Bombyx mori: one gene and its partners. The protein of the gene in region 4 interacts with the protein of the main gene of each other region in a biochemical or structural test. Links are inferred from orthologs where the notes say so. Each region holds a gene or a part of one and is shown on either strand. Other genes may lie near its edges. The genes, in order: kelch-like ECH-associated protein 1B, E3 ubiquitin-protein ligase ariadne-1, replication factor C subunit 1, polyubiquitin-A, 26S proteasome regulatory subunit 6A-B, cullin-2 and SUMO-activating enzyme subunit 2.

The links.
Region 1: the proteins of polyubiquitin-A (region 4) and kelch-like ECH-associated protein 1B form a complex in vitro, tested with the Homo sapiens proteins (2 studies listed by BioGRID). The link is inferred for Bombyx mori from reciprocal best matches to the Homo sapiens genes UBC and KEAP1.
Region 2: the proteins of polyubiquitin-A (region 4) and E3 ubiquitin-protein ligase ariadne-1 form a complex in vitro, tested with the Homo sapiens proteins (3 studies listed by BioGRID, with this or other methods). The link is inferred for Bombyx mori from reciprocal best matches to the Homo sapiens genes UBC and ARIH1.
Region 3: the proteins of polyubiquitin-A (region 4) and replication factor C subunit 1 form a complex in vitro, tested with the Homo sapiens proteins (2 studies listed by BioGRID). The link is inferred for Bombyx mori from reciprocal best matches to the Homo sapiens genes UBC and RFC1.
Region 5: the proteins of polyubiquitin-A (region 4) and 26S proteasome regulatory subunit 6A-B form a complex in vitro, tested with the Homo sapiens proteins (2 studies listed by BioGRID). The link is inferred for Bombyx mori from reciprocal best matches to the Homo sapiens genes UBC and PSMC3.
Region 6: the proteins of polyubiquitin-A (region 4) and cullin-2 form a complex in vitro, tested with the Homo sapiens proteins (2 studies listed by BioGRID, with this or other methods). The link is inferred for Bombyx mori from reciprocal best matches to the Homo sapiens genes UBC and CUL2.
Region 7: the proteins of polyubiquitin-A (region 4) and SUMO-activating enzyme subunit 2 form a complex in vitro, tested with the Homo sapiens proteins (2 studies listed by BioGRID). The link is inferred for Bombyx mori from reciprocal best matches to the Homo sapiens genes UBC and UBA2.

The regions. Positions count from the first base shown.
Region 1 is NC_085128.1:13,269,788-13,273,945, forward strand, and holds part of kelch-like ECH-associated protein 1B, read right to left. Parts: intron 2,281-4,158; coding exon 2,167-2,280; intron 1-2,166. UniProt on the Homo sapiens protein: Substrate-specific adapter of a BCR (BTB-CUL3-RBX1) E3 ubiquitin ligase complex that regulates the response to oxidative stress by targeting NFE2L2/NRF2 for ubiquitination.
Region 2 is NC_085127.1:9,583,899-9,588,056, forward strand, and holds part of E3 ubiquitin-protein ligase ariadne-1, read right to left. Parts: intron 3,294-4,158; coding exon 3,097-3,293; intron 2,326-3,096; coding exon 2,136-2,325; intron 914-2,135; coding exon 687-913; intron 289-686; coding exon 211-288; coding exon of another isoform or gene 207-210; exon of another isoform or gene 1-206. UniProt on the Homo sapiens protein: E3 ubiquitin-protein ligase, which catalyzes ubiquitination of target proteins together with ubiquitin-conjugating enzyme E2 UBE2L3.
Region 3 is NC_085121.1:15,066,411-15,070,568, forward strand, and holds part of replication factor C subunit 1, read right to left. Parts: intron 4,057-4,158; coding exon 3,973-4,056; intron 3,317-3,972; coding exon 3,168-3,316; intron 2,874-3,167; coding exon 2,679-2,873; intron 1,435-2,678; coding exon 1,283-1,434; intron 886-1,282; coding exon 777-885; intron 540-776; coding exon 394-539; intron 1-393. UniProt on the Homo sapiens protein: Subunit of the replication factor C (RFC) complex which acts during elongation of primed DNA templates by DNA polymerases delta and epsilon, and is necessary for ATP-dependent loading of proliferating cell nuclear antigen (PCNA) onto primed DNA.
Region 4 is NC_085127.1:9,713,253-9,717,220, reverse strand, and holds the start of polyubiquitin-A, read left to right. Parts: upstream 1-1,168; 5' UTR 1,169-1,299; intron 1,300-1,558; 5' UTR 1,559-1,566; coding exon 1,567-3,968.
Region 5 is NC_085131.1:1,840,857-1,845,627, reverse strand, and holds 26S proteasome regulatory subunit 6A-B, read right to left. Parts: upstream 3,041-4,771; 5' UTR 2,993-3,040; coding exon 2,345-2,992; intron 2,024-2,344; coding exon 1,828-2,023; intron 1,731-1,827; coding exon 1,534-1,730; intron 1,083-1,533; coding exon 952-1,082; intron 391-951; coding exon 183-390; 3' UTR 137-182; downstream 1-136. Other genes in the region: succinate dehydrogenase [ubiquinone] cytochrome b small subunit, mitochondrial, read left to right, coding at 3,690-3,720.
Region 6 is NC_085129.1:21,457,159-21,461,316, forward strand, and holds part of cullin-2, read right to left. Parts: intron 2,486-4,158; 5' UTR 2,466-2,485; coding exon 2,403-2,465; intron 2,055-2,402; coding exon 1,930-2,054; intron 1,831-1,929; coding exon 1,735-1,830; intron 1,461-1,734; coding exon 1,367-1,460; intron 1,293-1,366; coding exon 1,218-1,292; intron 1,109-1,217; coding exon 947-1,108; intron 802-946; coding exon 648-801; intron 1-647.
Region 7 is NC_085117.1:15,263,614-15,268,237, forward strand, and holds the start of SUMO-activating enzyme subunit 2, read right to left. Parts: upstream 3,266-4,624; 5' UTR 3,028-3,265; coding exon 2,884-3,027; intron 2,815-2,883; coding exon 2,660-2,814; intron 2,106-2,659; coding exon 1,958-2,105; intron 1,662-1,957; coding exon 1,167-1,661; intron 704-1,166; coding exon 532-703; intron 1-531. UniProt on the Homo sapiens protein: The heterodimer acts as an E1 ligase for SUMO1, SUMO2, SUMO3, and probably SUMO4. It mediates ATP-dependent activation of SUMO proteins followed by formation of a thioester bond between a SUMO protein and a conserved active site cysteine residue on UBA2/SAE2.

The DNA of each region.
Region 1 (4,158 bases), on a different chromosome or scaffold from region 4:
GCAGTTTTTTTCCGTAATTCTAAGAACCCGATTAATTCTGTTGGATATTTCTTGAGTCTCTAAATCATTTACAAATTCATGATACAGTATAAAAACAAGTTTGTTAATCACTGTAACTGTATGATTCATTTCAGCTAGTAATTTGATTGTTTTTGGAGTTTCGTTATTCTACTATTTTTAAACAAGAATTAGATCATGAGCGCCAAACGTCAGTATTATTCAAGATATTGAGTAAGACCGGGGATCGCCCAAACCCGGGTACACTAAATAGACATCGTTAATTCAAATTTAGTTAAGGACTAACATCGGGGAAGTGAGTATCGGATAGCAGGATGTAGCACGGATAGTGCAGAAACGACAATGAACGTTAATGTTTAAAATTAAAAGGAAATCGAAGCGAAGTATCCCTTCATAACAAGATGACACTCTACAAAACTTGCATACGTTCTGTCATGACCTATGCAAGTGTAGTGTTCGCTCACGTGGCCCGTACACTTTAAACTCTTTTCAGGTCATCTAATCCCGTTTCTGCAGGATAGCTGTCGGAGCACCATGGTATATGAGGAATGTAGATCTTCACGACGACCTAAATCTAGTACCGTTAAGTAAGCATCTTAAGGACGCGTCAGAACGCTACTTCGAGAAAGCGAGGCGACACGAATTATTTTATCCGACTGCGACGGGGCAACGCAAGGGCGCCGTCGCCCGAAATATGTCTTGTCGGATCCCCCGAATTTACTCTCGGTGTTTTCAGGTCTCTCAAGTACCGGTGGCGATTCCGATCGGGTGGTAGATTCTACAAAGCACTGCTCTCGTTAGAATGTTAGCAAATTCTCTCAGGTTGAGCACGTGAGCTCACGTATACTCGTCAGGGCGTTGCTGGAATAGCCTCTAGGCTACCAGCGAATAGGTAGGAAAAAAATCGTCGGTGAAAAGTAAGTTTATATTAAGCAGTAAATTATATCCACGACTCGCAAAAAACGATGGAAATACTACAAAGTCAAGTTAAACATATGTATATTAAACACATATTACAGCAAGATGTTTATTTATAGTCTTATTATCTTCGATTTCAGTCAGCCGCGAAGTGTATTGGATCAATGGACAATTGGGACGGATCGATTGTAAAATGCCATGAAATTTTTAGCTCATTTGAAACTTTTCCATTTATTAATATAGGAAAAAAACCTTTCCTAATGAGCATTAATAATGAAAGTTATTTTTAGAGATCAGGTGCAAAAAAAAAAGCACGAAATACTAAGGTTCGCGGTTAATCAAAATACAAATAGGCAAAAATCACAAATAGTAAGTATTAAGTAATATTAAATATTGAAGAAAGCATTGCACGTTACGTGGAAAACGTGTGAGTGTGCGAGATTATTATTTTTCGACCACAAACTTAGGTTTTTGTTTCTAGTAGGCAAAACAATAATTCAAATAATTTATGATCGCTTTTATTATCTATTATTATTAATTTAAAATAATTTTAAATAGTGTTTTTCCTGTTTTGTAAAAATATTATTATTACTAATATTATTTGAGCATCTATTTGTGTGCTCACTCAGTAAAGCAGGCTATAACTTAGGTAGTGACTACATTCTCTTTGAAATAGGGTATTCAAACATGATTTAAATTTTAAATAATGTTTGTTTATTTAGCAACTACATAGATATTTCTAATTATTTGTTCCTTTGGCAATAAGAATGAGACACCATATTATTTATTTATTTTTTATAAGTTCAATATGTCCCCCAAATAGGCAATATAATTTAACATTTTTAATTTTCGCGCCAAAACTAGCCGCCATGTTGATTTGACTACTGACGTCACTGGACAGTTTAATAAATTATAATCCATTCGGTATCCGATTACCTTAAATTAGGTATTTGTTTATTTATTATAAGATAGAAACGTTTTTCAATTGATGCACTGGATATACAGAACCTTGGAGGCATGTTTTTATTTCTTCACTTTTAGTTTTCATTTAGTTTTTTACTGTACTAAAGGATTGAGGGGCTGTATAGTGTTCTTACCAAAATGTCACAAAGAGAATGCCGTCTTAAAACGCGAGGTCGAACAAACGAACCAACCAAAGTCAAGTTGTTGCGTGTTTTTAAGATTGTGTTTGTGTGGGTGTGTATGTTTGTTGGTGTGTATGGTATTTACCTTAAAATAAGGACTGCCCGCCGCTAATACAACTTTGTGGACGTGAAAGAGTTCGTTTCCAACTTCCAACACGACATCAGTCAGCATTTGGTGTGATCTCATTGTAAACATCATCTGTTGACAAGAACATTTAGTATTAATATTCGTTTGGTCTTGACTTTATTAACTTGTGAGGACTTGTGGTGGGGCCTCTTGCGAGTCCGCACAGTTTGAAGGGTGGGGCAGCCGTTGTAACTATACTGAGACCTTAGAACTTATATCTCATGGCGGGTGGCGCATTTACGTTGTAGATGTATATGGGCTCCAGTGACCACTTAACACCAGGTGGGCTGTGAGCTCGTCCACCCACCTAAGTAATAAAATATGTATATAAACGACTACAAAATCTAAGAGAAACCATTTATTGTTTAAAAAAGGGGCTTCGAAAGTGTGTGTATTGCTTCGTTCTTGCTTCACGCAGCAACGGAACAACCAATCCTCGTGATTATTGCTTAACAGTCGTTAGCAAATCGCAGCGGAGAGTGACATTGGCTGCATTATTTTCTGTATAAACTATCCTTTTTTATTTTTAAGAATTACGAATTTGAAGCGGTTGAAAGTGCAAACCGTACATTGTTGTTGTATAAAGGACATAGGCCATTTACGGCCCAGCTGCTCGTGCTCTCAAGGACACGAATGAAATATCTATAGAAAAAACATTTCATTTTTACATACTTATTATAAAATTTAAGGGTATTTTAATGGTGGGATAATTAAAATCATAAATAAAAAGAAATTAGGATGATTAAGCTACATTGATAATATTGAAGGAGTTGCCATAGGTAAAATATATTTATATTTTAAACAATTCACATTAAATCTTCTTAAAAAAGACATTATATTGCAAAAAACTAGCAAAATATATTAATATATTTAATTAATGGATGGTTCCGTGCTGGATGTCTTGTTGTTCTCTTCAATGAAACGATTTGGCTCGTATTTACAGGTTTATTAAAAGATAAAAACTGAAGAATAAATAATAATGAAGTGCAATATGAGTGCAGTAGATAATGTAATCGTTAAAGATGTATATGGGTCATACACAAAAAGGGTAAAAAAAGTGTTATAGCAATGTATCATCTAAAAGAGCAAATTGGCGAATATTTTAAAGTATTTAAATCGTAAAGGTACTATATTACTACTCATTTTAATCGTATCTTGTAAAATATTACATTTCATAAATTCATTTTGATGGCGTTAAACATCAAAAAATCTCTTCCTGTGGACTGTTACAAGACGAAGGTATAATGTTTGAGCCATGTTTAAAAATACTTAAAGTACCCTATATATTAAAATTATTTACTTGTAACACAAACAATATAATAAAGATGATAATATTGAGAATAACAAAAATATATCGTTACTATCTGTATACAATAAATCCAATAAACATATGGTTACATGAAATGGAGTCTTTTCTGTGGACGCGATAAAACGACATCAAATTTTAATTTATTCGACCGCATTAAGTTTTTTTTTTTAACTGTTGGCATCACTAAATAGTGGCCATTCCGGCGTTTGATATTTTGTTGTTTCGATTCCAGTGCGAGTGAAAATATGTTTTTTATTCCAAAACACACATAAACGTAAAAGATCAAGTGTTCTTTCCTGTTCCAATTATAGACATGTAAATATTATCTATAAAAATGTATATTTATTGTTTTTATATGAGCATTTAGTACAAGTAAATGAAAAGCATGTTGCTTGATTTCTAACCTTAAAGTTAATTTCTTTACGCAAGAGTTTTTATGATACATCTTTTCTGTGGACATCTTTCCTGTGGTCCCGATGTCCACCGAAAAGACTATGTCCACAGAAAATGTGTAAGAAACATACCTTAGTAGGTCTAAGTAGAGAAAGTAGTAAGTAGAAAAATAGTTGAACCGAGGGCCTACTCCTTTTTTAAAGTTGGTTAGAAAGAGGTTTGATTTTGGCAACATTTGATATTCTTAG
Region 2 (4,158 bases), about 130 kb from region 4:
AACTCTCTTCGACACTAGCAGTGCTAGTCGTGGGAACAAACATTACAAGTTCTGCTTCTCGAAGCGCCAAAATCTTTAAACTATCATCCGATTGATACTCGTTTCTGAATAATTCAAGACGAGAAGCTCTCTTGTGTAAATCAGCCTTAAGTGCAAACGGGTGCAGGATAGCGACCCGCGACACAGTTTATAGAGAGGCAATGTGTTTACTCTGTGTAGTCCCAGCAGTCCTTCTCGTATCCCTCGTGCACGTGCTCTAATAACACTTTTCGCCGACTGTCACAGTATCTGTAACAAGTTTATTGAAACATTTTGTACAATTCGTAATAAATATTGACAGTGTAAGCACATCTTATTTTCACCAAAATCGTTTTATTACATTCACGAATCCCTCATAATTTTCAAAAGTTGAATTAATATAAATGTCGATAAATTTTAAAAACGTACTGTTTAAATATTACTGCTTTAAGGTAAGATGTGTCGCTATTTGTGCGTTGTGCCTTAACTATCCCCATATCTATGAGCGGCAGTGATCAATATCAATTAAGTGAACCACAAACTCGTCTACCACGGTTAGTATTTTTAAAAGATAACGTGCATATGCCACCCTGCCACAAATAACTACAAGGGCTCGTATAATCCGTAGAAATTCAGATCGTCTAAAGAATATTAAATTAAACACTTACCTGTATTTATCTTGAACCTTCTGCTTGATGTCGGCAAGGTTCTCGCTAGTGATGTCCCGCTCCAAGTACTCCGAGAGCGTTTCGGTCGCCGACTCCAAGTCGCGTTGGTTGTCCTCGAATATGACCGACTGGTTGTTCTTGCGCAAGTAATACGCGAACACGTACGTGTACATCAGCGTTTGTCGGCACTGGCAGAGAATATCTACAGCTTTCTTGAGGAATTGGACCTGTGAAACGAGGGGCGTTTGTAAGTAACTGTATGCGCTACTGAATGTGGCGTACGCAACTTGAGATTTAGATAGGAAGAAATCACTGATAGTCAAAGAATATGCGTTTATTATATAGTTGGCTAACAAGTAACTAATTCTATCTATGTATGTTGATGTGGTGAGTACCGCTGTATATGAGTGCTGAACGTGTACTGGCGCTTTATACTACGGTTTGAGTAAAGCAACGTAAAAGTGCTGATGTGAATGCGCGCGTGCCCTTTACGATACATGACTCGTACAGTAACTTTAAATATAACAAACTATTTTTAGTAATCGTTTTTCAAATAGTGTCAGTGCAAAGCATTGAAATGTTATTATGTATGTGTTAATAGTTGGTCTGCCCCATCGGAAGTTATAGTGATAAAACCATAACTATCTAAATCCATTACTATTGTCTCCTCCATCTGTCCTAGTAGTCGGGTCCGCATTTTTTTTTAACTTAATCTTGTCACCATTCTTAGCGATTACTCAACCCAATACCTAAAATGCTAGACGGTTCATGGAGCCAGCGGCCCTTCGTCAAACTATAAACCCAATATGAGTACAACTCGGAGTACAGACTTCGCGAGATTATGACAAGAAAATCAGTATTGTAGGATTGGTAAGAACGGAACGTATGTAAAGAGTGTGGAACGGAGCGTTAAGATGTGAGTGAGAGAAAACGGAAAGAAAGGGAGAAGAGAATGACAGACAGAATGACAGAAAATTAGAAAATGGCGAAGACGGTTGAAAAATGAGCAAAACGTAATACAAGTGTTAATTATTAATTATTGGAACGAAGTTCCTTATCGCGCGTTGTGAAAGGGGGCTAGACGGAAAAAATTCTTACGAAAAGTTGTCACGACACTTTTTAGATCCGTCATTCTGACCAATCAACGTGTAGGCGCTTATCGCGTGACATTGCTCGTATCCGATTGGTCCGCGTAATGAGTACAGTTTCTCGAGATAGCGTTTCAACAATAGTAATTTAGTTCATAGTATTGTTTTTTTCTTCTTCATAATGCCGTAATTTATTATTATAACTTAAAAAAAAAAACAATTCCTTCACTAATTAATCGAATGGAACTTCGTTCCATCCGGGTGTCCCTTGACACCTCTGAAGTTTTTTATTATAACAGAAGAATTTGGAACAGTGGAAGTTTTATTTTATGCGCTGCGATCCCTATTCTACAGTATTAACCTCAATCCAGCTCATGTTGTGTTGCTGCATCTCCTCCATCTTCTCTTTAACCGAGGCGTAGAGTTTGGACTCGAAGCGCAGCGACTGCATGTGGTTCATGTACCGGTTGCAGTAGAACAGATAGCGCTGCAGCGCTGCGCGGGATCGCTCCTGTGCGTCCCGGGCTGCTTTCGCTTCGTCCTCGTCGTATCTGTCATTAAGTCACGTGTAATAAGGATAGAAGTTTAAGATTATTTTTAAAGAAGTTTAAGGTCTCAAGTATAGTTACAACGACTGCCCCACCCTTCAAACCGAAACGCATTATTGCTTCACGGCAGAAATAGACAGGGCGGTGGTACCCACCCGCACGGACTCACAAAGAGGTCCTACCACCAGAAAAAGATCTCGGCAACATTAAAATTTTTGAAGCCTGTTTAGAAAGTACTACTTGGAAGTAGTATTTGCCTAAAGGTGAAACGCCTGATGTACTCGTTTCTTAACCGTTCTAACGAGACTTTTAATATCAAGTAGAGAATTTCTCAAATAATATCTTATATATAAAATTCTCGTGTCAGAATGTTAGTTACCATACTCCTCTGAAACAGTTTGACCAATTTTTATGAAATTTTATATGCATGTTCAGTAGGTCTGAGAATCGGCTACAGTTTATTTTCCCACCCTACAGTGATAAGGGCTATCCACCCCTAGCATTATTTTTTGGACAATTTTTATTTTTTTGTTATAATGAGGTATTATGTGGTTGAATGAGGTTTTGTTATTTTTATACTCCCTAATTATTCACAGCGCTACTTGCCTCTTTCACTCATTTATCACATCCTTACACACTTACAATAAGTTTTTTTTTTCTACACTAGAAATTCCCTAGAAATCTTATATATGGCAAAACAACGTTTGCCGGATCAGCTAGTTTTTTTTAATAAAAATATAGACAATTGTTAAACAATGTATTAAGACATCATACCTGTTACAGCTGTACCAGCTGCTGCCGTGGGGCTCCCAAGGTCCAAGACACACCCAGCAGAAGTCGGCCTTGCAATTCTGATTCTTGCACACCATGTGGTTGCAGCCGCCGTCCTTCTCGATGGTGACGTTGCATTTAGGACACTCCTTCGTGTTAGCCGCTATCCAATTTGAGGTCTCCGAATCGTCGTCGCATTTCTATAAATAAATTCTCTCTGTATTTTATTATATACTTTTTTTTTATAGTTACCTAATATTAACACATTCTTTTGTCTTTATAGTTGATCTAGTTTTAAACATTTTGAAATTAAATGTTTCAAAACCTAAAAAAAATACGTTTAAATAACAAAAAAATATAGATTTTTTCAAAATCCTGGTGATCAGTCTTTAAGCTAAAATAACAAAACTACTTTATTGTTATCGGTTCTTGACATGTGTGCAAATTTTCAAGTTAATCACTCGTTTTGAAGTTGGCAAAAATTACGTAGAAAAGTTCCGTTGACACATACAATAGATAGATAAACGCAGGCGAAGCCAATAAATTTATCTTTATCATTTTTTTTTATTTACCTTTTAGTAGGCAGACGAGCATACATACACCTGATGATGGTGGTGGTAACCGTCGCCCATGGACTTCAGCAATGCCAAACCAGGCCGGTGCCCACCGCTTAATACTCTCCACAAGTCTCAAACAATTCCTCAGAGCACCAATACCGTCTTTACCATAAGGGCACACGGGGCCCGTGCCCAGGGCCCCCATTCTCAGGGGGCCCCGAAAGACCGAAAATTAATCTCACACGCTTATTCTCAAAACATTTTTCTCGGGCATCTTACCCTTTTTTCAGAATCAGTAATCAGAATTACAAGATATACTATGCCTATAATAGAAGATTTTGCTCAACAGACACCCCGAAAGAAACCGTTATCGAAATCGTAACCAAAAAACCAGCAGCATTCTAATATCATTAATGACATATTATATCATACTGTATTTGATTACCTATAATAAATGGTCATACTCAGTAAAAAAATGTTATTATAATTCGCTTTTTTTACTTTCCAA
Region 3 (4,158 bases), on a different chromosome or scaffold from region 4:
ATGATAAAATTACAAATTGTGGTCCTGTCCTCTGATACAAATGTCAGGGTCAAGGTGAGGTCAAGTTCATGCACAGAGACACCGAATCTCAAATAATCTTTAACAAAGATTGTATCCTTCCGGTATTCAAACTGAAACCAATGTTTATTTGCTCATAAGAAATAAGTCAGCAAATAAGTTCCGTCCAATTGCAAACTCATAACTTAGTGAGATTACACGAGAGTAATGTTAAATGTGCTTAACAGTGACGTTATGAAAAGACGTATCAAAGAATCTCACGGCTGGCAGACTATTAGCCATTGTCAATGTTAAGGACAATGGTAGTTCTTTATTGTCAGGAGACATGATTGAACCAAATAAGTGGACATTGTTGAACACGACCGCAGGGCATACCTGAGTCTTGTGTGAGCGTGTATCTCCTGGGCGAGCCGGTGCATTTTGTTGGCGCGAGAGTTCTTCCCGAGCCAGCCCGGGAACTGGATTTGGCCGACCACGTGACCCGACACCGCGTGTCCCGGGAGCACCGAGCTGTACATGGCCTGCGGAATGTTCTCGATATTAGACACGTCGGGATTAAAGAGATTTTATCATAAATAACATACTGGGAACAAATTAATGTTTTTTTTTTCATTTCGATTACCTTAAATCCTACCTTATCAATAAAATTAAAATTAATTAATAAAAAAAAGGTCAATGTTTAAGTAACTGCTTTAACTAAGTGAGTGATGAACATTCGTTTGTACATCTATAAATAAAAACTTTATCGGTTTATATACCTGAATAGGCAGAAGACTCCACGCCTGGCTGCCTCTGATTCTCGCAGAAACCATGTCGCCTATACTGATACTGTCGGCCGCTTTACTAAATCTCTCTAGAACCTCGTGTCTGCCAAATGAAATTATTAAATTAAATTAATTCTATATATCATTTTTAAAAAACTTTTTTTTTTCTTATTGCTTATTTGGATGGACGAGCTCACAGCCCACCTGGTGTTAAGTGGTTACTGGAGCCCGTAGACATCCACAACGTAAATGCGCCATCCACCCTGAGACATAAGTTCTAAGGTCTCAAGTATATTTTTACAACGGTTGCCCCACCCTTCAAACCGAAACGCATTACTGCTTCACGGCAGAAATAGGCAGGGCGGTGGTACCTACCTACCCGTGCGGACTCACAAGAGGTTCTACCGCCAGTAAACTCACAAGAAGTCCTAAGAAGCGACAGGGAGAGGATTGTACACTCTTCTACAATTGAGAGCAAAGGAAAAACAGTCTATACTCACTTGGGACAGTGTGGTGCAACTTGCAAGTAATTCTCCTGCACGAACAGAGGAGCGAGGTTGTAGTCGTAAAAGAACAAATCGCTTTTATCGTGAATGCTCATAGTCTTGTGTTCTTCTGCGGAGAACACTTTCCTTACTGCCTCCCATGGACCCTAGTAGATAGACAATCAGAGATGGAAATCATTTATAATATTATGTAGTATTATTTTGGCAGCAAAACACATGTACAGTCAAACCTGGATAAGTGAGAAAACTCTAAGTGAGAGTAATAGCCAGGACCCGTCATTTTAAGGTCCCAAAACCTCTATTAGCGAGAAACAGAAACCTGTGTAAGAGAGAGTCGATTTTCCTTCATGGACCTCCGTAAGTGAGCCTGCTACTTATCAATACCTCTGCGACAGTCGAGCTTTATTTATTTATATTATTTAGGAGGAACAAATTACAACTTTAACATCTGCTATTTTATGACTCCTTCTTAACTTTGGAACTAAATAACGTTGTTATTTTATCGCATTCTTTTCAAATGGACACGTGTGCCTGTGTACCGTCCTATTTGTCGGACTTACCTCAGTTTATCGTTAATCAATTGCAAAGGAAAGTTCTGTTCTGCATCATGTAAAAACGGAAAATTAAGTACTGTCATTAAGTGATAAACTTAAAATAGTGAATGCGTTTGAATCCGGAAAATCGCGAAATGAAATTCAGAGGGAGCATTAGCGAAAAACTCGGGTTAGTGAGAAACCTCTATAAGCGAGAATGAGATTGTGCTCCCTTGAACTCTCGCTTATCCAGGTTTGACTGTATATAGTTGTTCACACTAGAAAGTGGTTATTGTGAACTTTTAATCTAATATCTGCCTCAATTGAACATAAATACTGTTCAGGTAAAAGCGGAAAACAGTTCTTAACATCATAAATAAAGTTTTCCATGATTTGAATAGTAAATATCGTCGCTGTCAAAACAAAAATTGCCATATGCAAAAACTCTATTTTGAATTAACGAGTAAAAACATTTTCGTATAAAATTCTATATGAAAAATTTTTTTTAACAACTATATCAAATGAAAGCTATAGATAAATATTAAAGCTATAGATATATTATTCTACTAAACATTACGAGAACTTCACTGTTTCTAGTGCATAGTTCGGGTTCGACGAGGACAGTGACCGGTGCTTGTGGTACCTAAAAGCACCGTAAATGGATCGGGTGGAATTCACTGCCAGTGCGCCGTGGGCACACACGACACAACTACTCACTTGAAAAGGTCACGAACGTCATTGACCAGCGTGCTCGCTTTTATAATTTCAAATAATACGTGACCGCGCCCGCCACTAGCCTCGTCCACATATCGCCGTAAACAAGAATTAAGCTAGAAAACTACTAATTCCAATTTTACCAATTTGACATCCTTCTTCGTGGTGTTTGCGTCTCTTTTTAACTTGTCCACACTGGCCAACGCCTCGTCGACAGCCCACATCGAGAGTAAGTTGAGGGTCTGCCGCACGTCTTGGTTAGAAGCGACGATCAGCTGCGTCAACACGTCCGGGGCCACTTTGATTCCTTCTTTGAAACATATCGACATCATCGCGGCCTGAAAAAATCAGATTTAAATCTGAGGTAAGACAAAAATAATAATAATATACAATAGACGTGATTTTGATTTTTTTGACAAACGATTTGGCTGTATGGGAATCGTTTCCTTTACCTGTATAGGCTGTCGAACCGACAAAGGAGGCTAAAGGGTTCAGGTTAATTTTGAGACAAGTTTGATTACCATGTGCTTAATGATAATTGTTTTTTTTTCCTAATTCTGTTTTATATATTTTATACTGAATGTTAATGTTATTTGTCTCTTTTCGTTCTTTTAAAACCATAAGTTAATTACCCTGATCTGATCCACTCTTGGTCTGTTGAACCTCAAATCATAGCAGTAGTTGACCAGGGACCTCATCTTCGTACTGTTTCTGTCGTTACACATACATATCACTGGCACTGATGTTGATTTTATCAGATTTATCAACTCTTGCAGGCCGCCTGAAAATGAAATTTACGTTTTATAACTCCGAAAGATTAAACAAAGAACAGCTGTAATTTCGACCATACTAAAAATACATAATTAGAGGTAAAATTCGTAATTGTTCACAAAACTATTTTAAGTATTTTAGTTTAAATAGAGAAAGACCGTGTCGTTTTATTTTGTCATTCATCCGATTTTCTATTGTCTTTCAGCCATTAAATTTAGTTCGTAGTCCAGATGTTTTTTTTATAAACTAGTGTTCCCGCAGTAGTCGAAATTCGACTATAATTAATTAAAATTATAAGTTTGGATATTATATTATATTTCTATAGTCACAGATTTCGCCAAGACTACACTATAGACAAATACTCGTAATATTAAAGATAAAGAATATTAACCTATTCTCATTTTGACTACAGACTTTATGCAATAACAAAAGTTCGACAATAAACAGAGTGTATGTGTGTGTCAAATACATGGTATGTAGTGTGTGTAATGTTTTCTTTATTGATTTTTTAATGCATAATTTAAAAAAAATATTAACGTTCTGCACTCCTTCTCTATATTCTCTATAAGTGTGGGAAATTTCATACTACTCCGTCCGCGCAATTTTCGTAAAAAGGGGTACAAAGTTTTTGCTTCACGTATTAATATATAGATATTTCCAATTTACCTCTATCCTCATTTCCCGCCATGCCGTCGACTTCGTCCATTACCAAAACGTGTTTCTTGGAGACGGCCTGCTTGCTCGTGTCGCCTAAAAAAATAGATTTTCCAGATTGGAAACAAACTAGGGTTTTCTCTATCATTATAGTACCGCAAACATAAGCGAAACGATATAAGAGCTAACAATAACAAT
Region 4 (3,968 bases):
TGTTGATGAATTTTCGGATTATCGATATTCCCCTTCGAATCCTTACTACTTCAAATTGTTATTTTCACTGATCATACAAACCGGTTTTAAAATGAACACCTCTCAAGGGTGTTTCCTGAGCTCTATGAAATCTTCTTGTTCAATCAAGGTTTGAAAGGAGTATAGCATTGCCAGTGTCCATGAGCATCGATCAGTACTTACCGTCATATGGGCCATTGGCTATTGTATCTATTACGAAAAAAAACCACAAATACTTAAGATTAAAAGTGTTTGAAAAAACTCTAGCATTTTTTATGTGTTAATTCGAAAGTATTCTTGCCTAGCTTATTTATTCTGATGAACTGCTGCTACAATCAACGCCCTATAGGTGAACAAAATGTAATCGTTCAAAGCTCTGCCATCATTTCGTTCAGCAATTCACCATCTTCTGCTCCCCACTCCGAACGAGGAGCACTGCTGCTTGAGATACAGGTTTCATCACCTAATTCAAGCACAGATGCAAATTAAGACTGTCTTTCTACTTCTATGCTAACAATAAATAAATAAGTAATAAAAAAATGAGTATCGCCGGCAACCAGCTGTTCTTCTAGCTCTAACTTTTCTATTATTCTCATTTACAACTCCTACAAGCTGATTGAATTTTCACCGCACTCGCACATATCAGCTGTACGTTTTCACCAAGCCTTTTGGTGGGCTAATCGATATATTAGAGATAAAAACTTGTTTAAGCCTTTGCATAAGTTTTACTATTACTTCTTAAGTGAAAATAAATTTATGTGTCCTAAAGTACATATTAATTTATGATAGATATTTTTCAAAACATAAAACAATCGTCAAAGCTTAAAAACTGTTTGAATACGTATAGCAACATTCCGCCATATTGCTCAGAGTGATTTCTTTCAGGCAACGACTTCCTAAAATAGTGATCGAGAATAATCCTAAAATACAAGCCTGAAGGGAATACATGGAATTTTTAATTTATTATATTATTCATTAAATTAACTCAACTCATCTCGTCTCGTCTCGTCTCATCTCATTTCATTCATTTCATTTCATTTCACACCATGTTTCATATTAATCAACTTTATTTCATTTCATAATATCTTTTTTCATATAAAAAGTTTTCATTATAATTAAAATAAGACTTGACCTAAAAGTCTTAGTTACCAGGTCATAAAATTCTTTATTCTGCTTTCAAGAGTCAAGTTGAATTTCATTCATTCGTGAAAGAGCTACCTAGTTGCACGACGTGTCCTACAATTTGTGATAATTTTAATAATTTTTGTGAATTCCAAAAAGGTAGGAAATATTTCAATTTTTCAAAAATATCACAACTCTACTGCATGAAATAATTATTGTCAACAAGAAAAGTTTGAAAATCAAGTTTGTCATTTGTACACACAAAAAAATCTGAAACAATGACGATGTAATTTATGATCGTCGCCATTTTGTGATGACTAAAAGTCTTTGTTCTTTTGTTTTGTTCGTCAATCCATTTAATACTCCGAAATAGGGAATTCATCCGTCAATCTTCATTAAAGTTCCTTCTTTGTTCTAGAAACCACCATGCAGATTTTTGTAAAAACTCTCACTGGTAAAACCATAACATTAGAAGTCGAAGCATCCGACACCATAGAAAATGTAAAAGCAAAAATTCAAGACAAAGAGGGCATTCCTCCAGATCAGCAGCGACTGATTTTCGCTGGGAAACAACTTGAAGACGGACGGACATTATCCGATTACAATATTCAAAAAGAATCTACTCTCCATTTGGTATTACGTCTGAGAGGTGGAATGCAGATCTTTGTGAAAACACTTACCGGTAAAACCATCACACTAGAAGTTGAAGCATCTGACACCATTGAGAATGTGAAAGCCAAGATTCAGGACAAAGAGGGAATTCCCCCAGATCAGCAGCGATTGATCTTTGCGGGCAAACAGCTTGAAGATGGCCGTACATTATCTGACTACAACATCCAGAAAGAATCTACTCTGCATTTGGTGTTACGTCTCAGAGGTGGCATGCAGATCTTTGTGAAAACACTTACCGGTAAAACCATCACACTAGAAGTTGAAGCATCTGACACCATTGAGAATGTGAAAGCAAAGATTCAGGACAAAGAGGGAATTCCTCCGGATCAGCAGCGGTTGATCTTTGCGGGCAAACAGCTTGAAGATGGCCGTACACTATCCGACTACAACATCCAGAAAGAATCTACTCTGCACTTGGTTTTGAGACTGCGTGGTGGCATGCAGATCTTTGTGAAAACACTTACCGGTAAAACCATCACACTAGAAGTTGAAGCATCTGACACCATCGAAAATGTGAAAGCCAAGATTCAGGACAAAGAGGGAATTCCCCCAGATCAGCAGCGATTGATCTTTGCGGGCAAACAGCTTGAAGATGGTCGTACACTATCTGACTACAACATCCAGAAAGAATCTACTCTGCATTTGGTATTACGTCTCAGAGGTGGCATGCAGATCTTTGTGAAAACACTTACCGGTAAAACCATCACATTGGAAGTTGAAGCATCTGACACCATCGAAAATGTGAAAGCCAAGATTCAGGACAAAGAGGGAATTCCCCCAGATCAGCAGCGATTGATTTTTGCTGGCAAACAGCTTGAAGATGGTCGTACATTATCTGACTACAACATCCAGAAAGAATCTACTCTGCATTTGGTGTTACGTCTCAGAGGTGGCATGCAAATCTTTGTGAAAACACTTACCGGTAAAACCATCACACTAGAAGTTGAAGCATCTGACACCATTGAAAATGTGAAAGCAAAGATTCAGGACAAAGAGGGAATTCCCCCAGATCAGCAGCGATTGATTTTTGCGGGCAAACAGCTTGAAGATGGCCGTACATTATCTGACTACAACATCCAGAAAGAATCTACTCTGCATTTGGTGTTACGTCTCAGAGGTGGAATGCAGATTTTTGTGAAAACACTTACCGGTAAAACCATCACATTGGAAGTTGAAGCATCTGACACCATCGAAAATGTGAAAGCCAAGATTCAGGACAAAGAGGGAATTCCCCCAGATCAGCAGCGATTGATTTTTGCTGGCAAACAGCTTGAAGATGGTCGTACATTATCTGACTACAACATCCAGAAAGAATCTACTCTGCATTTGGTTTTGAGACTGCGTGGTGGCATGCAAATCTTTGTGAAAACACTTACCGGTAAAACCATCACACTAGAAGTTGAAGCATCTGACACCATAGAAAATGTGAAAGCCAAGATTCAGGACAAAGAGGGAATTCCCCCAGATCAGCAGCGATTGATTTTTGCGGGCAAACAGCTTGAAGATGGTCGTACATTATCTGACTACAACATCCAGAAAGAATCTACTCTGCATTTGGTGCTACGTCTCAGAGGTGGAATGCAGATTTTTGTGAAAACACTTACCGGTAAAACCATCACATTGGAAGTTGAAGCATCTGACACCATCGAAAATGTGAAAGCCAAGATTCAGGACAAAGAGGGAATTCCCCCAGATCAGCAGCGATTGATTTTTGCGGGCAAACAGCTTGAAGATGGTCGTACATTATCTGACTACAACATCCAGAAAGAATCTACTCTGCATTTGGTTTTGAGACTGCGTGGTGGCATGCAGATCTTTGTGAAAACACTTACCGGTAAAACCATCACACTAGAAGTTGAAGCATCTGACACCATTGAGAATGTGAAAGCCAAGATTCAGGATAAAGAGGGAATTCCCCCAGATCAGCAGCGATTGATCTTTGCGGGCAAACAGCTTGAAGATGGTCGTACACTATCTGACTACAACATCCAGAAAGAATCTACTCTGCATTTGGTATTACGTCTCAGAGGTGGCATGCAAATCTTTGTGAAAACACTTACCGGTAAAACCATCACGCTAGAAGTTGAAGCATCTGACACCATTGAGAATGTGAAAGCCAAGATTCAGGATAAAGAGGGAATTCCCCCAGATCAGCA
Region 5 (4,771 bases), on a different chromosome or scaffold from region 4:
GACATTACCATAACATCATTGCATATTACTGTGTTTTCAGTATCATGATCGGTTTCTAGCAACGCATTTGTTGCCAACGTCGAGTTTGCTATTTGAAAATATTGCGATAAATATTACAATATCCATAAAAAAACAATTTGAAGTAAATTTTTATTTATACAAATTATTTATATTTAATACAACTAAGCATAATAGCTAAGGTTGGCCTTTTTCTTAGCCTGGACCTCCAGTATGGCGTCCATAAAGTCTTCGTGAGTGACGGCAGTTGCTGAACGTCGCAGCGCTATCATACCAGCTTCGACGCAGACCGCCTTGCACTGGGCGCCATTGAAATCATCAGTCGAACGCGACAGTTCTTCGAAATTAACGTCTGGACTTACATTCATTTTACTGAAATCAGAAATGTTAATATGAACCTGCACTATTTACGTACCAGTTACACTGTCGATTTTCATTACATGTTTTTAGTATCGTTATCTATGTTGCCGAGTAGTTTGCAGATTCTGACTCTTTATTTTAAATCTGTTTTTTTAATGTTACTTTTTGTAATTTTGTATAAAGTAAAAACTCCTCGCCTCTAATTCGCGCTGTAAGTTCACGTTAATAGTAACCCAAACACAAATCGATTTGAGCATTGACAAAAACGTCAGTACTGAATTGTTGCATTTATACTGTGAATGTAAGCCTGAATCTTGCATTTGCGTCGAGGTAAACGGCCACAATCATGTTTTGATATCTGGATTCTAATAATTAAGTGGGCCATGATCTTGTTTGACTATGTTCACCAAAAAATTAATTAATATATTACAAAGCATAGCTTGAATTCGTAAGCACATTCAATTCATGTTCTTATTTTTTCTGTTTTATAAATAAGTTATAATTGATAAAAAAACATTTGACATTAATTCAGATTTGTTCTTTTATATTTTTTTCTTATCATAAATTCATTACCGGGAATGGATCTGCATAATTCTGGCTCGGGCTTCTTCATTGGGATGAGGAAATTCGATTTTTCGGTCCAAACGTCCAGATCTGAGCAGGGCAGGGTCCAAAATGTCCACTCTATTGGTAGCTGCAATGACCTGTGAGGAGAATGGAGGTATTATAAATGAAATGAATGGAGATCTTATAAATGAAAACAGTTTAATGTAATCATCATAAGCACCAGGTTTATTTTTTCGCTGCAGAGACAGATGGGATGATGGGAAGTACCCATATGTCATCAGGGAATTCCTAGTTGTAAAAAGAGTATGCTGGTAGACATACTGTTCTCTGCAATTCGAGAATCCTAACTGTGCATCTTTACCATTTTTAACCAACTTAAAAAAAGGAGGAGGTTCTTAATTCGACTGTATGTTATTGTTAATGTTTGTTACCTCATAACTTTTGAATGGGTGCATCAATTTTGATGATTCTTTTTTTATTAGAAATCTGACGCTTCCCGTGTGGTCCCCATTTCAATTTAGTCCAGTTCTGATAACGGTACTTAAATGACTTAGGTGTTGTACTAGTATATTATATAATTATGGTTACCTTGATGTCAGCAGTTGAGCTAAACCCATCAAGCTGGTTTAACAACTCCAACATAGTACGCTGCACCTCACGGTCTCCAGCCTTTTCTGAATCAAAACGCTTTGTACCAATAGCGTCCAGTTCATCAATGAAGATGATTGCTGGTGCCTTCTCTTTAGCCAATGCAAAGGCGTCGCGGACAAGCTTGGCACCATCACCTGAGGGTATGAGAGAGATATCATAAAATATGTCATACTCAGCATATTGGAGTGACAACAAAAAATAAATCTTTATTTTTTTTAATATATGTCATACCAATGAACATCTGCACAAGTTGTGGACCAGCCAGCTTCAAAAATGTAGACTTTGTTTGAGCAGCGCAAGCTCTCGCCAGCAATGTCTTCCCTGTACCAGGAGGTCCATATAAAAGAACTCCTTTGGGTGGGTGGATGCCGAGATTCACAAATTTCTCCTTGTGTGTCATTGGCAACACTACAGCTTCAATTAATTCCTAAATAAAAAAATAATTCAATTTCAATTACTTTATAATTTTTGATTATTTAAGGTCATACATAACCCTAAAATTGTTTTCAATATTAAAATGAGCTTGTACAATGTTTACAAGAATCATTATTTATGATTTGATTCAGAAAAACAAGCCCTTGATATTCAAAAAAAACAAATAAGTATTTGAGTGTCCTATAAAGGCACTGTTCCTAAGCCAAGCAATACTTGTTTTGTAAAAGTTTTGTAAAATTTTAAAATCGTCAGACTTAAAATAAGCAGCATAACCATTAATAAATTTAAAATTAAATAAATCTGAGTTTCTTACCTGTATCTGTTTATCCAGACCTCCAATATCTGAGTATTGTTCAGTTGGTCTCTCATCTACCTCCATTGCCTTTACTCTGGCGTCATACTCCGCTGGGAGCGTTTCTAAGATCAAATAAGAGTCTTTGTTGACTCCTACCAAGTCTCCTGGTTTGAGTTTCTCTGCATCTACCAAGCCGATGACGGGCAAGAAATATGTTTGCCGGGTTGAAGTCTTGATTACAGCGCATTTCCCTTTACGCTGTGAGTCTAGATCGACAACGGCGCCGTCTTCTTCCTCCTCTTGCGGATCCACATCTAAAAGTTCAATGACGTTCGATACGAGATATGGTAGCGTCTTATTGACCTTGATTTTCTCCGTGTTTTCTTTAATTTTATCGTTTTGAGCCTGCAGCTCGTGCGAGATCCTCATCACTTCGCTCTTCATTATTTTGATTTCATTGTCCAAAAGTCGGGTTCGACTTACGATTTCATCAGTTGGCATGCGAAGAACTTCCTCACTGAGAGCTTCCTCGCCATCCTCCCAAATTGACTTGTCTTCTAATGTTGTGGCCATTGTAATATTATGATTTGTTTTTTCGTAGTAATCTTTTAAATTAAGAAGTTCTTGAACCCATACACATTTGACGACTCTAAAATGAATTGTCATTCCATTTTGATGTGACCAGCCTGATGTATTTTTTTTTCATTGTTTACGACATTGGTTACTCAACTTTCTAGTCGATCTGACCTTAGTTAAAATGTTCAGCTCTGTAATTATCAAAATTCACTTGTTTATCTAGCATAATTCTATTATTGTAATATATGTATGAACAAGCTAAGGACCTACTGGGTAAAAATAAATATCACAACATGTACATATTCATTACATGCAGTATACACTAACCACGCTAAGATATATATACAGTGAGAATCATAATCCTTTAATTTAACGACTATCAGAAAGACCTCTAATTGTACGGGAGTACCTTATCATGTTTTACCATCAGTATTTATGTAATTTGAAACAGGAATTAGACGATCTTGGTCTTTATAATTAAGTCTTCCTAGGTAGTTATTTCCTTAAAAAACATTATATCTGCCTCCGTAATTTGAACATTAGCGTAGGCAAATCGCTCAAAACGAGTACACCGGTAACTTATCCCTGTGTGCTACAACTTCATGTTACCTATAACCGTAAACAATTGACAATTAACATTTGACATTTTGAATTATTTTGAATCTGACGTTTTGACTTATTCCAATTTTGGTTGGGTTTGGTGATTTCGTTCTGTTGGACTTTAAAGTAATATTTATATTTTATTATTATAAAAAAGTTTTAGTAATATATCACACGATAAATAACCATGGCGTTCTCCATGTTTCTTCGTACATCAGGTAACAGATTAATTAATATTGCGCTCACATTATCATTACATAATAGGAATCTGAATCGTTTTTTTTTCGACGCCTGTAGATTTTCCACATGAACATTAAAATACTATGATAAGACCGGTTTACTGTTGGAGTTCTTTAATCGCCCCAAGAGAAAAAAACACGTTTTGTATTTCGTATCTAATCTTAATGTTATTGTTTACATTTTACGTTTCATTTTAAGGTTGTGTTGGTGATTTTTAACTAAATTTAAAATATTTGAAAAGGAGTTATATTTTCTTCAAGTTTGTGATATAATTTAATATACAACAGAAGATAAAAAAAAAAAAAACTATTTTCAATGAATAGTAAAAATATATTAAACTACAAGCTAAAAAGCGTAATATTATTCATTTATTGTTATTGTTGGACGGTTAAATTTCAGGGGATTGGGTTCTGTAGGTGATGAGGGGCTTATTTAAAAACACAACTGCTTCATTATAATTATATTGCAGATAGCTTGAACACTTTTACACCATAATACAATTATTATCTTTATATTTTATATAAAACTATTACATGTTTTTCATGCCGTGTCTAGATGAGAAGTTCTGACATTTTCTTACGAGAATACAATGATCTGTTTTTTTAAACATTTTAAAATATTTCTAATATTCGAAATCTAATCAAGTGTCAAGTGTTGCCTGCCATTACATTTAATATACAAACTCCAACAGTTATCCAAATTTTGAGATGTTTTAAGTAGGTTTTTAAATTAAAAGAAAAATTTTCAAAATACTACCAAAACCCTGAGGAAGGGAAGATTCATGAGTTTGAAGTATTATCATAGATAAGAGTGTTTCACTTTTGTAAACCTGATCAATCAAAAATAATCACCTTTATATTTATTTACTCTACCAGCAGTCAGTACTTTGTATGACTCTAGCATAGAATAAAGTACTGTTAAACAAGTCTTAGCCTCATAATATATGCCACTATATGAGATCAAAATGTGTAAAATTAAATATAATGGAAAAAAAAAACATTTGCCAAGTACATAATCATAATTATCAGT
Region 6 (4,158 bases), on a different chromosome or scaffold from region 4:
GTACTGTACTGCACACCCACTGTACTGTACTGCACACCCACTGTACTCTACTGCACACCCACTGTACTGTACTGTACTGTACTGCACACCCACTGTACTGTACTGCACACCCACTGTACTCTACTGCACACCCACTGTACTGTACTGTACTGTACTGCACACCCACTGTACTGTACTGCACACCCACTGTACTCTACTGCACTGTACTGCCACTGTGTGGTACTGCACAACCATTGTACTGTACTGTGCTGCCTGCAGGATGATTGGTGACGTGGTGGAAGTTGCGGTTTCTAATTATAATATTTTTGAAGTAACGAATAAAAGGATTAAGATAGATTTATATTTACATATACAAGTAACAAGGAACAGAATTAGAGGATCGCCCCGGAATCAGGGGCGCAGAAAATTAACAATTTAATATTGTAAAGTCGTACTTCACTTCTTACCTGTAATTACTACACACCTATTGTCTGCAATTACACTACTACGCTAAATTAACTTATATATGTATGTACTTCTAAATAATAATATTACTCTAAAGAATTACTATTCATTATTAAAACTTGCAGAGGTCAGTGACTCGGCGTCGTCGCTCGCGCGGTAGAGTCAGTACATAGAGCAGAGATGTGAGTACATTTTGTATGTACCTGCGAGAACGTGCTTCATGTAATGTGCGACGTCCCCCTCCTGCAGTAAGTGGGCCGCCGTCCTGGCGTGCTGCTCGCCGGCCGCCTGGAGGAACGGCTCCAGCACGAGCTGCTCGTACAGCGCGAGTGGAGACCGGACGCGAAAACTGCGGACCTGCATTCATTCAAGTTTTTTTTTAAACTATTTTATAATAATTTGTTGTTTAATTTTTCAGCTACATATTTTATCAACTGCACTGCACGCGACTGTACCGAGGCGGAGTGCTGGTGGAGTGCTGGTGGGGTGGCGGTGTACATACGTGCACGGTGCTCTGTATGGCTTGTCGGATGATGTCGGCGTGGCGCGGGTCGGGCGGCGCGTCCCGGGCGGCGTGCAGCGCGCTGACGATGCGCGCCGTGAGGGCGGCGGACAGCGGCCGCACCAGCACGCGCTCCCAGATGTCCAGGCCCAGCTCGCCCACCTGCAACAGGCGAGTCCGTCTCTGTACCCGGCGCGTCCCGGCGCGGTCCCGGCGCGTCCCGGCGCGGACCCGGCGCGGCCCCGGCGAGTCCCGGCGCGGCCCCACTCACCTCCAGTTGTCGCGCGTCTTGCTCGGGACAGCTCACCGTGGCCGACGTGCCGTATATGATCTCCGCGTCGGAGACCTGCGCACACAAACGTTACGATGCGAGTGCGTCCCCAGCGGGAGGCACGGAGCCTCGCGGCCGCGTCCACGTACCTTCTGTCGCTTGACGTGCTGCAGGTTGAGGTAGGAGTAGAGGCTGTTGAGGTAGGCCACGCCCTGGCTGTACTCGCGCCACGCCGACACGTACCTGCGCACAACCGCACACATTACAATATATACAACCAGTGAGACTATGAACGCGAACGTTAACGTCGTGATGTCCGCGGGCTCCGGTAACTACTCCGCACCGGGTGGACGGGAAGCGTTAACCCGTCTATATTCAACGGTTACAATGAAAGCAAACAATGCAGTTGAGTTTTCGAAGTGAGAGAGCAGTCAAGAAATCATGTGTCCCTGAGACTGTTGATTTAAAGTGAATGTATGCGCTATACATGCATGTCCGTCTGCGTGTGGCCCCTTACCTGTCCAGTAGTCCATCGTTGTGGTCGGACTGCTCGAGGGTGGTGGAGCCTCGAACTCTCTCCAGCAGACTTGCCACGTGCTCCTCTAAGAAGTTCCTACAAACGTAACAAGCGAGCACAACATTAGATCGACCAGACGCAGTCCTCGTTGGTTAGGACGAGCACACAGCGACACAGCGAGTAGCGGGTAGGTACCTGGTCTCGTCGTAGAGCCGGTCCGCCAGGGGCTCGGGGTGAGCGACGCACAGCGCGTACACGTCAGAGAAGCGGGTGTTCCACACGATGCGGTCCACGGCCTTCAGCCCCACCACCCCCGCAACCTGGCGCACACAAACACATGTAGAGCGGGCGGCACGGTAGTGGGGCGTCGCGTCTCTCGGCGGAATGGCGCGACTATCTGAATGCTATTGTATGCGCGAGTCAGTTTTCTGTGACTTGTTCTATTCGGGTATCAGAAAGAAATATGACTCTGAGCTCGCATCACACACGGGGTGCAAGAGAACCATTCCTCAACTCGAAGACGGACAGCAACGTGACTGCGGTCTCTCCCGAGTGCGGCCTTAGGGCGTCACCTGGGTACGGTTATCGACCCCAAGTTTAATACGCTCTGTAAGGGGATCCCTTGTACCTCGTATGTTGTGAATGAACAGGTTGCGTTGACGACTCACGGTCTCTTTGAGGTTGGCCCATGTCTCCTGGAAGTCCACGTGCCTCGGCTTTAGCGACATCATCACGAACTATTTACACATACCTGGAAAACACGTAACCATACAATTATTTAAGGCCAGTAAACGAGTAGGTGGAGTGGAGGTCACAGGTGATGGGGGTGTGCCTCGTGAATATCTTACCCTACAAATATGAACACTTAATTGTATAGTAAGTGGTTCCCAGCGACTACCCCACCCCTTCGAAAACCACATAATATTATATGTAAAATATACTCGCAAATTAACCAATAAATAAAGTTAAATAGATAAAGTCATAGGCTCAAGCTAAGCTTTAAATTTGAGACAAAAATGTAGTTGAGGAAACAAGACTAGATTTTGAAATGTATGTATATGATGATCTATAATTAGTTTAAAGATACCTGTTAATTATTTTATATATTTATAAAGTAATATTTGAAAAACACAGAGTTATAAAACAATAAAAAGTTTGCTTTAGAATATCAATGTTCCTTTTTTTTTCCTTTTCTTGTTTTAGGAATTAACATTTGTGATATTTCATTGGTACTATACTATACTATACTATTTCAAATATATTTTCCAGAAATCAATTATAATAAAAATAAACATTACACAGCATTTATTGGTTTTGCAGACAATTCGATGCCCCTTTGTGTGTAGCGCCCGGGGCATGATATCCTGGTATTGACATTCCTCAGTCGGTTGTGAGTCAGGTGGTCATGTAGCAGTATGACCATGATATTTACTGATTAAATGTTTGTTTGCTAATATTAACTAGGTTTTTCAACAATTCCAAACCAAATTCAATTAAAATTCTTCTTATTATTGTATGAATTCAAAATGAGTTTTTGTATTGAGTTCATGGAGACAAATATTTTAATACTAAATGAATATAGCATTTTTATTCTAACTAATCTTTGTTTCTGCTTCAACATCATTATCCTAGAACAATTGAGACCTCAATCACAAAGGTCAAGTTGTAACGATTGCAACATGCTTTCTTCAACTTTCAATCAGGTTTCCGATCGGGACACAGCACGGTGTCTGCGTTGCTGAAAGTGACAGATGACATTCGATGGGCAATTGAAAACCAATCCCTAACCATTCTTGTACTACTTGACTTCAGTAACGCATTCAACTGCGTGGATCTCGATATCCTGCTCGGTATTCTTCGATCCCATAACATTACTACTTCTTTTTTTTTTTTTTTTTTTCCGGGCCGAGGGCCGAACCTCCTACGAGGTCCCCGCGCCTAGGGGGCGCGCGGGGTATGTGAGACTCAACGATCTGCAGGTGTTGAGAGCAGACCGCGGGCCCAAGGAATTTAAGGCCCACCCACTAAACGACTCCCCTGCACTCTTACACCCGGCGTCCGATCTCCGTCCGGGGTCAAAACCCGGTCAGAGTAGGGGGGTTCCCGCGGTCAACACTACAACCAGACACGCGGCGCCACCCCGAGGACGCCCGACCGACGGGTCGTCGAGGCGATAGTCGACGACCAACGACGTCAGTCTCCGCGGTACGGCGGCCCTTCAGGCCGCCCGGGCGATGCCGCTGGTGTTCCGGGATACCCCGCTGGGCCAGAACCAGCCTGCCGGGTCGGAACGCGATACACCGCCGACCGGGTTGCTCTTCCACAGTATGTTCGGCGACGACAGCGACGACGAAAATGCGGACCGCATCGCAGTCCGCAGCCGCCGACGCATCGTCCCGTCCTCCTGGTGCCAGCGCGCTAGAG
Region 7 (4,624 bases), on a different chromosome or scaffold from region 4:
CAACGTCATTTAACTTCTAGAGCGGCGTTGTAATGCAAGTGAGACACTCAAATTAGGATGTTCCTGACGTTCAAATTCAGAACGAAAATGAAGTGCCTGATTTACCAGTAATAGCTGATATAAAAGAGTGGATCCAAAGTCCATGGACACTCGATAATTAAGTTTTTTATCTTTAATTAATATAATTAATCGTTTATTATTTTCTAACTAGTCGTTTGTTTTTTCGGTTTTATGAAATGTTGGACTTTATGTTGATTTTATTAGATTATTATTTAATAAAAATAAGTAAAAAATGAAAATAGCTGTTTTCTCTCGATTATTTTTAAATACATACATAAATTTAAAAAATGTGTGACGTCACATCAGGAGGGGGGGTTATAAAAATGTGACAACCTGTGACAAGGAGGGGGGGAGGGGTTCAAAAGTCCTAAAATTCGTGTGACGTACTTTATGGATGGCCCCTAAGGTGATTTTAAAAGGTTTGTATAACATTAACAGAGCATGCCCTTTGGAGTAGAATAATAAACTTACATTTGATTTCGAATCGTGATTTTAGTGGTATATTAAAGATATGTGCGCGTATGTTAGCACAGGCAGTTACAAAATCCATGGCACTTTTTTCATCTTTGTCCCATACAAGATGGTCGTCACCCGGACGCGATTTCAAATCTGTCTGTAGAGCCTTGCAGCTTGCTGCAAATACCTGGTGAATTTTATTTAAAATTATTATATAAGAGGTGAAGGAATAATTCAGAACTTTTGTGAGTATTCAGTTTCTTTTTCTAGTTTGTACATTACTTTGCATGTAACAAGTACAGAAAAAATACTTTTCTAGTATAACAGTGCAGATAATATTTAAAAAGCCTGTTTCTGTTGAGGAATATTATTATTTCTTCATATTTTAGTTTATTACTTTTTGTATTGCATTCTATTTTTATTGTTATCAATACATTGATACAAAGTATTGACAGGTATATTGATTATAGTCGAATTTTGATCAACTAGACTCTGGAACACTAAATAATAGAGCCACTACTTAATCCAATTATTGTAGTGTGGCACACTATAAGCTTTTCAAAGAAGTGGGTGCTTGCTTTATTCTAAACCTTTTAATTAGTTTAGATAAATTTATTGAAATAGTCCTATTGAAGGTCATAAAAACTCACTTGTGCACATTCATATACTGTCCAAACTCTTTGGTCTGGCAACCCTGAATGTTGAATTTTTGGAGCATCTTTTCCAGGTAGATTTTCCCATGACAGTGGAGTGGGAGGCCGACGTTTCTTCCACAAATTCTCCATAGATAGTAAGTAACGGATATCATCACCAAATAATTTTGTGAATAACTTTTCTGGTTCATAATTAGTTTCTGCTGCCCAGGCTCTGGTACTTTTTCTTTCAACATTACCGGCAGTAGTACTTTCATTAGACAACGCTGATTGTCCAGCATCACCTGCAGCCTCAGGGTCAGCTGTATCAGGACTCACATCTTGATCAGGGTCTTCTTCTCCAAACAATTGGTTGAAGAGGTGTTTTGCCCATACAATGCAGTGAATAGGTTCTGAAGGTGTATTACGAATTGTGCAACCTGGGAATGATTTCTGTGGTGCTTTAGGCTGGCATTCATAACATTGAGTCAGACCTTTCTTGATGAGCTCCACCTGTAAGATAAAGTAAGCATATGGGTGTTGGTTCACAAAGTCGATAGTGCTCTGAGTACTTTACCAACCCATTATGAAATCTAAAATTTATTTATAATCAATTTTTGGGTACTTATATAATTAATAATAAAACATACTCTATGCCTTTAGTACTGCTGCAAAAATAAATTCATATACAAGAAAATGTCTCCAAAATATTTTTCTAGACACAATTACCAAACAGTTTAATGATAATTAAATTAATGTCATTAATAATCCTACTTAATGATTTCCTTTATTTTTAAATTACATCTCACCTGACCAGCATATCCTGCTGTACCTGTCTCTATAAGAGGTACATCAGCAGCAAGACACAATCTATTAACATGGTTACGGGCAACACGATTGTCCAGTGCATTCATCACAATGTTGAACTGTTTGAAGTATTTTACACCATAGTCATTGCTGCAATCAAATACAAACAAGTTGTATTAGTTTATGTTCTCTATTCACTTATCTTTTTCACATTTAGGATCTGAATTTTTAAGGTATTGTAGTGAAAAGTACAGAAACAGAACCCTTACAGTTGTCTTGTATAACAGATAAATTGTATTTCATTACACTTTACTAAGTGGTTGTTATGAAATTAGTATGTGTGCATATTAATAGTGCTGGGCAGCTTTAGGAGATAATTACTGATTCTAGAAAACAAAATTGTAAATTATTCAAAACATTGGAAACAACAAATTACAACGAATACAAATACAAGATGAGCTGTAAAAATTTATCCTTCGGTAGATCTTAAAATTATAATGTTTCTAGTACTTTTTAGTTAATGGTTGGTGAATTTAGAGTTCTGCTTCTAAAATCACATTCACTATATATCTCTTAATTGGAATGTATGAAACATAACTTTTATTCAACTTTGCAAATGAACAGTTTTGAAGCAGAAACATCCTAATATTTTCAACATGAAATCATTTAAAGAATGTTTGTTTATAACATGTAAGGTAACATACCTGATTACACTGTCATGGTGAGCTACGATTGTTACGTTAGGGTTGAAACTAAGGGCGCTATCCTTTGCAACTTGAGCCTTTGATTTCCCAACATGCTCTTTGTGAAAAAGAAACTGACGATTCAAGTTGCTTACGTCGATAGTATCAAGGTCGATCTAAAAGCAAACATTGCGTCAGAAACAAACCTTTTATTATTAAAAACATAAAAATTGCTCAGTACACACAATTTCAATATATGGGAAGCCGGTTAGCACGAGATTTTTAAGGATCTCACAACCAATGCCGCCGGCGCCCACTACCAGCAATTTAGAATTTGCAATAGCTTCTGTCAATTTCTCATCGAAAACGCCAGCGACCCTCGCGACCATTTTGATTTATACTTCGACAGATCGAATAACGAAATTATGTGCAAAATTTGTTAAAGTTTTCAACACAAACTCAACGAGGATACATAAATGACCTGTCAAATCACTGGCTTATGTTCTTTTTTTTAAATAATTTATTGGCTTGGAATTTAGTCTTTTAAGCCAAACAGGAATTTCAAGGTTCACTCCGTTGCAATCCATATCGTAGTGTGACTTTGTTGTCAGCTAATAATATTACAAACAACTCTATTGACAAATAAACTTTTCATAACGTAAGAATTTAGTTAATGAGTTTGGAAAGTTAAGCATCGCCCAATTAAACCGTTATGAAAAATCCGAACGGGAGATGTTACTTAATGTATATTAATAATATGAGATTTTGACGAGCATCTCGACTGAGAATTTTCAATTTATTCATTTATTTTTGTTTATGAGAAGAATATCTCACAAAATAAAGAATGTCATCTAAAACATTCTTGCTAAAGAGTGCTTGTTACTCTTTAAACCATTTGTATACTCGTAGTATTAGGCAAATCGAATCTGCATCAATAGTAACATTGTACAATCTATTATTATAGTATAGCTTAAGAGAATAATCTTGGGTCAAATAAAGTTTGATTTTTGCTTAAGGGCCTATAAAATCCGTCATAAAAAGTTTCGTAAAATGTGTGGTATTTATTATTATTTACATGTTTACCATAGACCTATCGACAGAAAATTTTATTCGAATAATAACGACGAATTGCGATGAATGTCACGTTTCCTTTTCCCCTCCCCCTTCTTTCTGTCTATCTGAGCCTGTTACAGTAAGTAATAACTGTTACAGTAATACGCCCTATTCGGTTGTACGTTTAAGATATTCTGGATAAGATTAGTCAAAGCACCTGCATGGTGTGGGTATGGAAATGGAGAATGAAGGTAGAATGTCTTATACAGAAATCAACCAGGCTCAATAAGTGACTGAAGCGCTGCTATAATAGAATCTAATTTATCCTGAATGAAAATAAGTTTATAATAAAACATGACGCTTTCTGTTAAGGTTCAGTTTTACGACCCATTGAATTTTTATGCCGACGGCTTTAAATGACATCGAATCCTATGTAGTAAGCTAATGTGTCATGTAACACATATTTGCTTTAGAGAAAAACCCAGGATGCATTTGTTAAATGCAGCATTAAAGTTTATTATTTATTAGAGATCTATATTGTGACGGCTTCTTTGCTTCTATTTGAAGAACTAGGTAGATGAACCTCACGAGATTTACGCATACTTTGTGTTATGATTGGTAGTTCGTAAAAGCTTAGGGATCTCAGAGTTCAATGAAACTGCTTTTATTTAATTAACGGTTCCAAAAATTAAAGGAAATGTATGAAAGGATCATGCCAACCATGAACTGATTTTTGTGAACGGCTTAATGATGGTATCTGGAGGGCGATTCCTTCGTGTCACTCGACAGTAATGATACAATATTCTCAATTGCATTACATTGCGTGCTGTGTAAGAAGCAATATTTGCTTTAAGCATTGCAGTTTTTAAATGTTGTTGTATTTGACTATCACTTTGAATTTACTTATGTACCTACTACGTGATAAATAGCAGT